Linked DNA regions of Ovis aries. The protein of the gene in region 2 purifies or fractionates together with the protein of the main gene of each other region. This does not show direct contact. Links are inferred from orthologs where the notes say so. Each region holds a gene or a part of one and is shown on either strand. Other genes may lie near its edges.

Evidence for each region.
Region 1: the proteins of NPHP1 (region 2) and NPHP4 purify together in Homo sapiens (co-immunoprecipitation; 6 studies listed by BioGRID and IntAct, with this or other methods). This does not show direct contact. The link is inferred for Ovis aries from reciprocal best matches to the Homo sapiens genes NPHP1 and NPHP4.

What each region holds. Positions count from the first base shown.
Region 1 is NC_056065.1:46,809,376-46,812,837, forward strand, and holds the end of NPHP4 (nephrocystin-4), read left to right. Parts: intron 1-501; coding exon 502-673; intron 674-1,259; coding exon 1,260-1,439; intron 1,440-1,694; coding exon 1,695-1,838; intron 1,839-2,363; coding exon 2,364-2,504; 3' UTR 2,505-2,918; downstream 2,919-3,462. UniProt on the Homo sapiens protein: Involved in the organization of apical junctions; the function is proposed to implicate a NPHP1-4-8 module. Does not seem to be strictly required for ciliogenesis. Required for building functional cilia.
Region 2 is NC_056056.1:104,781,370-104,785,444, forward strand, and holds the start of NPHP1 (nephrocystin-1), read right to left. Parts: upstream 2,869-4,075; 5' UTR 2,854-2,868; coding exon 2,785-2,853; exon of another isoform or gene 1-2,784. UniProt on the Homo sapiens protein: Together with BCAR1 it may play a role in the control of epithelial cell polarity. Involved in the organization of apical junctions in kidney cells together with NPHP4 and RPGRIP1L/NPHP8. Does not seem to be strictly required for ciliogenesis.

The sequences.
Region 1 (3,462 bases), on a different chromosome or scaffold from region 2:
TGTCACTTGCACTGAGTGCCCACCCCAGCCGAGGGTCAGTGCCTGGTTTGCAGGTGCCATGTGGTGGCTAAAGAATGTTGTCCTCGTGATGGCTTGTGGGCAGGCGTCCCTGAGGCCCGTTTACCACCAAGAGTCAGTGTCCCTGGCACCAGGCGGCTGTTGCAGAGCCCGGGCTCAGGCCCATGTGACCTCCGAGTCCACATCCTGGTCCGTGCCGTGCTGTCCATGGGGTTTGCACTAGGCCTGGTTTGGGGTTCTGCTGACCCAGGTGCAAGTGTGCTGAAGCCCACGTTGCCACACATTTGAGGTCTCTGTTCAGGGTCAAGGCCACGTAGAGGCCACAGCCCTGCCTGAGCGCCTCGGCCTCGGAGGGAAGGGGCCCCTGGGGGTGACGGCCCCTGGGCCCCGCCTGCCCTCTTGGCCGCCTTCTCAGCCTCCTGGGGCTCCCCTCCCACAGTCAGTGTAGTGTCCTCGCGGACCGTGAATGGCTTCTGCCCACAGAGACCGCTGGTTGGCAGCACCTATCCAGACCTGGCAGGTCCACCTGCACTCGCTGCAGCGAGTGGATGTCTCCTGTATCGCTGGCCAGAGGACCCGCCTGGCTCTCGTCCTCCGGGGGACGCAGACAGTGAGGAGGGTGCAGGCTTTCAGCTCACACCCCCAGGAGCTGACGGTATGGCCTTTGGGTGGGGGCTATTGGGTCTCAAGGAGGTCCCCTGCGCCCTCCCTTCCTTGCCCACCCAGGGAGGGGGTGGGAATGGTGCTGCAGCTCAGGGGATTCCTGAAGATCAACAGAGCCTTAGTTCACATTGCCTTTGCCAGATGTGCCTTCGTGGGATGACTGACTTATTTACAGACCCCACCAGCAACTTGTAGAATTTCTGGGAGTATATACTACGATATTTATGGGAGTATATATTGTATATCATGGGAAGAATTAACTGTGACTCTGGAGTCAGTGTGGCCGTGATTGTACATCTCGGTGATGGGATGATGTGGATGCCTTGCCCGAGGCTGGGCTGGTTCAGCTCTTCTCTGCCGAGGCTGCTCCAGCACTTAGGGGTTCCTGCTGTGGGGGAGGGGACTCAACCCCAAAGATGGGGACATGGACTGTGCCCCGCTGGTACTGGTGCCAGTGGCAAGGTTGACTTCATGCAGACTGGAGGGCTTCCCGCCCAGCACAGGTGGTCACCCCTGAACCGTTGGGCTCCCTGGGATGAAGCCCTCACCTCCTGACCCCCTTCTCTGTCCCCTGGAAGACGGACCCCAGAGGTGTGTTTGTGCTGCCCCCTCATGGGGTTCAGGACTTGCATGTGAGCGTCAGGGCCTGCAGGCCGGGCAGCCGCTTCACGCACCTCCACCTGGTCGACGTGGACGCTCACCAGCTAGTGGCCTCATGGCTCCTGTGTCTCTCCTGCCGGCCGCCTCTCATCTCCAAGGTCTGATGTGGGATGCGGGGCCACGTGGCTGGGTGGGATGTCCCCTGATTGTCACCTGGTCCCCTAACCCGGCCTGCTCAGTGGCTGGGGGTCTGGGGGGTGTTGGTTTCTGAACTGTGTTCTCCTAGGCCAGGACCTCGGGGGGCTTGTCTGCTGTATTTATGGAGCCATCCAGCGTCTAGGGCCCCGAGCGCAGGGCAGGCTTGGGAAGCTGCCGGAGAAGCAGCCAGGTGCCAACTCCTGCCCTCCCCGCAGGCCTTTGAGATCAAGCTGCCCGCGGGGGGCGGGAGGGGCGCCAACAAGCGCATCACCTACACCAACCCCTACCCCTCGCGGAGGGCCTACCGCCTGCACAGTGACCACCCCCACCTGCTGCAGTTCAAGGAGGATGCCTTCCAGGTGCGGGCTGCTCAGGGGAGGGACCCTGCAGGGTTGGGGGGCTCCAGGAGGTCCTGGGGAAAACCGTCTGTGCTCCAGTGAGATGCCTGCAGTCCCCAGGGGCACCCCCGCTGAACACTGCCTGGGCCTCTGACCCCACACCTAGGCCCCCACCTCCCCGGCAGTTTCACAGCAGTTTCATCCAGATTCTCTGGCAAGTGAGGCCTTGATCTACTGTGGCTATTTTAGGGAAAGTGAGCAGCGGCTCAGAGTGGATCAGAGTCTGTCAGTCAGGGGAGGGGGCTTAGTGACGTGTCTCTCAGGGACTTGGGAAGAGCGGCTGTGGGGGAGAGGGCTTGACAGTAACATGGGAGATTGGGTTCCAAACGTACATGTGTTTTCTGAAGCCTGCCAGCCTGGGGGTGGGGTGGGGTGTGTGTGTGTGTGTGTGTTTGCCTGGGTGGAAGCTGCTAGCCTGGGGTGTGTGTGTGTGTTTGCCTGTGGAGCTGGCTGGGTGGACACGAGTATGGCAACATTTCTTTCCAGGTCGGGGGAGGCGAGACCTATACCATCGGCCTGCGGTTTGCGTCCAGTCAGAGAGCTGGGGAGGAGGAGATCCTGATTTACATCAACGACCATGAAGACAAAAACGAGGAGACCTTTTGCGTGAAGGTCATCTACCAGTAGAGGAAGGGGCTGTCCCGCCATTCTCAGGGGCTGCTCCTGTCCCAGGACTCTGCTCCGTGAACTCAGCCAAGGATCGCGGGGTCCCCGCGCCCTGACCGTACATGATGGTCCTGTCCCGTCCCGTCAGGCTGCTGCCAGTACCGACTGCATAGCAGTCCCGTGGCAGATGCGAGCGCCCCAGTGAACCCAGGCCAGTTTCTCTCTGTGGCACACGGGCGTCGTCAGTGTCTATGACGTTAGGGTTTGCTCTCAGCAAAATGTATTTTATGAATTATTTTAAATGATAAAATTATGCTTTTTTTTACTGAGTTTTATACAAACACTGTATTGTTTGGTATGTAATATTTTTTTATACTGGTATTATTTCATATCTTTTAAAAAAACTACAAAAATATGAAACTTTTACACATTTTCTCTTTTGGCAGTTTTTGTGTTTTCTGCTGTTTTCACCTTCGTCAGAGGTTTTCTGTCCACAGAGTAAGCTTGGTTTTCCCTGTAGGTTGATGTGGCCAAGGGCAGTCAGGTGGCCCATGGCTTATGGCCTCTGGGAGAGTCTGCTTGGCCCTGACCTGAAGGGAGGGCAGCGCTGACCTCTGCCTCTGCTCTGATTCTCGTCTGCCTGTTTCCTCGTGGGGCCTTGTGATGACCCTGGACTTAACCTGGAGAGTCCAGGACAACCATTCTATCTCAAGATCCTTAACTCCATCCTTTTGACCTCACGAGATCACCTTCCAGGGATCAGGTCAGCCTGGGTTGGTGGACATTATTCTGCCCACCTCCATCCCAGTGCTTGTGTACAAAAGAACTGAGTTTACAGTGTGAAAACCCAACAAAGGGCGTCCCTGTCTGTTGCTTAGATTCTCCAAGATGTCCTTTCACGGGCAGCCCCTGTGTTTTGCATGCCCGCTGCACGCATGGCAGGATCTCTGCTCATCCACACAGGCCAGTCCAGGCCCAG
Region 2 (4,075 bases):
CATTGCATCATAAGACTGTAGTTGCTTAGTTCCGGCAAGTGCCATGTAATCCAAATCCCTATCAACCTATAGAAAATTACTATTACTCCAGAAAGTTCCTAGAATGTACTCTTTCGTGTAATCATTTCTGAGATACTTCCATATCGGAAGGATACTTCCATATACACTGCTGTCTGTATCGTTGGTTTATTCTTTCTTACTGCTGACTAATACTCCCTGTATGAATAAACCACAAGTTTTTTTCTTTCTTATCCTCATTCTTATATCTTATACTGTGACTTAGCAATTTCCAAATACTACCTGTAACTTTGCCAACATACCCACAAAAGAGGCACATATATCTTTCGGGTTCTGTAGATGTGGAAAAGATAAAGTGATTGAAAAAAAGAAATAAAAATTCTCTACTCTTGCCATTGTGCGTCTGTTATTCACAACGTCACACACGTGGTGACAGTCAGTCATCACGGGCATAACCCAGATGGGTCCTTCATAACTTGTCCCATGGACAGCAGGGTGGAAGTCTGTGCCACGTTTTGCTTCACGTGTCCTCTGCGGAGGCCTCCCTGGTGGCTCAGACAGTGAAGAATCTGCCTGCCAATGTAGGAGACGTGGGTTCGATCCCTGGGTTGGGAAGATCCTCTGGAGAAGGAAATGGCAAAACACTCTAGTATTCTTGCCTGGAGAATTCCATGGACAGAGGAGCCTGGAGGGCTACAGTCGTTGGGATCCTGAAAAGTCGGACACGCCTGAACATGAGCAGAAGTACATTAATATGGGGTCAGGGAAGAAGGACCCCCCAATATCACACAGCCCTTCCCAGACACACAGGGTACCAAAAGGCTCAAGAGCCAACTGGGTTCCAGCTTGAACAACCCTGGTGACTGTTTCATTTCATCTTTATATCAGTAACAATTGTTGTGGCTTACTTCTACGACTTTTCCTGGTTCTGTCAATGTCCAACTAAATTTAAAATTCAATGCAATATAAAGCATCTGGCCAAAGCTCAGCTTAAGTTAGTGTCTCATTAACTTTTATTTTTATTCCTACCAGAAGAGTATTCTATTCTGTTGTACCACTATAATTCCAATAGAGTTCCTTAAGAAATATTTATCTACCCAATCTTTTGTACTTTTTAAATGAAAGTCCAAAACTGGATAAAATATGAGCATTCAGTACATCTTCTGTCTGCTAAAGATTATAAAAATAATTTTATTTAGTGGAAATAATACTTGGTAATATTAACAGATCAGTTTAGTTCCGTCACTCAGTCATGTCTGACTCTTTGCGACCCCATGAACTGCAGCATGCCAGGCCTCCCTGTCCATCACCAGCTCCCAGAGTCCACCCAAGCCCATGTCCATTGAGTCGATGATGCCATCCAGCCATCTCATCCTCTGTCATCCTCTTCTCCTCCTGCCCTCAATCCTTCCCAGCATCAGGGTCTTTTCAAATGAGTCAGCTCTTCAAATCAGGTGGCCAAAGTACTGGATTTAAGCTTCAACATCAGTCCTTCCAATGAACACCCAGGACTGATCTCCTTTAGGATGGACTGGTTGGATCTCCTTGCAGTCCAAGGGACTCTTAAGAGTCTTCCCCAACACCACAGTTCATAAGCATCAATTCTTCAGCCCTCAGCTTTCTTTATAGTCCAACTCTCACATCCATACATGACTACTGGAAAACCATAGCCTTGATTAGATGGACCTTTGTTGGCAAAGTAATGTCTTTGCTTTTTAATATGCTGTCTAGGTTGGTCATAATTTTCCTTCCAAGGAGTAAGCATCTTTTAATTTCATGGCTTGCAGTCACCATCTGCAGTGATTTTGGAGCCCAGAAAAATAAAGTCAGCCACTGTTTCCACTGTTGCCCCGTCTATTTCCCATGAAGTGATGGGACCAGATGCCATGATCTTCGTTTTCTGAATGTTGAGCTTTAAGTCTACTTTTTCACTCTCCTCTTTCACTTTCATCAAGAAGCTCTTTAGTTTTTCTTCACTTTCTGCCATAAGGGTGGTGTCATCTGAGGTTATTGATATTTCTCCCAGCAATCTTAATTCCAGCTTGTGCTTCCTCCTGGAAATGCAATTACACAGTCTAGGAGCATAAATATCTTCTACATCTTGTCAAGGTGCTTTCCAGAAATGCTGTGCCTTATACCCTGGGGCAGTAAAAGTGCCTGTTTCATCACAGCCTCCCCATCAAGAGCATCAAGATTTTTAAAGTGTTTGTGGTATCTTATATTCTTTGCAATTGCTTATCTTCGAAGTCAACTTTTCTCATGTTTATGTGACTAGTATTTCTTCTTTAGCTCATGTCCTTTGCTCACTTGGCAGGTCTTAACATTTTTCTTATATATTATTCCTTGATGCATATTTGGCTTGGCTTTATGGGAAGCAAAAACACTCAAGAGCCTCCACTGGATGGGAGAGAAAGGAAAGGAAGCATGCAGAATGGAGGAAAGTGATGTTGAGTGCAGAGATGGTTGGGATGTTATTATTCGTTTAGATTTGGAGGTGAGATGGGATAGAAGAGGTGTTAGGTTGCAGATGGAGCTGTTAGGTGGGGTGGAGGGAGAGGAGGACAGCACTTAGTCGAGGATCCCATGTTCTAGCCTCCCCGGGGTTGGGTTGGGAGCGTGAGGGGTTAGAATCAGGGTTTGGTCCCGGTACGTTGCGGGTGGGGGAGGTTACAACTTGGAAAGGGTGGGTTGGGGTTGACTCTCAGAGTTAGGGTGCGCCCCGGAGCTCGCCCGCCGCCAGAGCCCAGGTCTCTCACCAGACGGTACCTGCTGCTTCAGCTCCTGACTGCGGCGCTGCAAGGACTGGAGTGGGTCGCGCTGCCGCCTCGCCAGCATCTCCGTCACCTAGGCGCGGAGAGCACAGCGGTCGCCAGGGAAACCATGGCGGCTGCACCGGGACGTGACGCCATCACTACGCGTCCGCCTCAGCGCCCTGCAGCCCGCCGGGAAGCTGATTCTGCAAGTGTGGGGTTGGTCCTCTCCTGAGGAAGCGGCTCCTTCAATCCGCAGGGCCGGAGCTCGCTTTTCAGGTCCACTGCCCAGCAAGTCACTTTTTCCTGGCCAGTCCCAAAGGATCGGGGTGGAGGTGGGGGAGAATATGCCGCTGCGTCCGAAACTACAAGTCCCATAATACTCAGTATTACCACGTTCCTGCAGGGTTACTGGGAGTCCGCAGTGGCTCAGCGGTAAAGAACCCGCCGGCAATGCAGAAGCCAGCAGGGTGGGGAAGATCTCCTGGACGAGGGTGTGGCAACCCACTCCAATATTCTTTACTAGAGAATCCCATGGACAGAGGAGCCTGGCGGGCTACAGTTCATAGGGTCGGAAAGAGTCGGACACGACTGAAGCGACTGAGCCTGCACGTACCAGTTTTGCTAAACTAATCTTGTGTTAGTCGCTCAGTCAGCCATGGCGGACTCTTGCGATCCCATGGCTCCTCTGTCCATGGAATTCTCTAGGCAAGAATACTGGAGTGAGTTGCCATTCCCTTCTCCAGATCTTCCCCACCCAAGGATCAAACCCAGGTCTCCTGCATTGCAGGTGGACTCTTTGCCGTCTGAACCACCAAGGTCCTTGAAGCTTCTTAATGTCTTAAATGTACAGATCGTTTTCTTACATGGCTTATACAGGATACGTGGTTCTGCTGCATACTCTGACTTCACAAAGGCAGTATTTAATTCTTTTCTATTTGGGATATTGCTGGAGTATCACTTAACTGTAGTTTTTGCATCCTCAATTCTATGGTCTAGGGATGGTCATTCTGTTCTACAGGAAGTCTATACACCATGATTATGTGCTGCATTTTACATCTCTCATGGAGGCTGTAATCACATTTCCTCAAGTGGGACTCATTCCTATAAAATCCAATTCCCAAACTCTCCCCACTACACGGAAGCTCACTTTTTAAAAGATGAACCACATTGATACCCATTTACAAGTTAATCCCACAGGCCAAGAGCCATGCTATTTGTGTTCTTTCTTCAACAGAAAAGGGACAAGAACCCCCTCACTTAATTTTCACTTTGAACACAGCTCCATGTAACATCAACCAGATTTG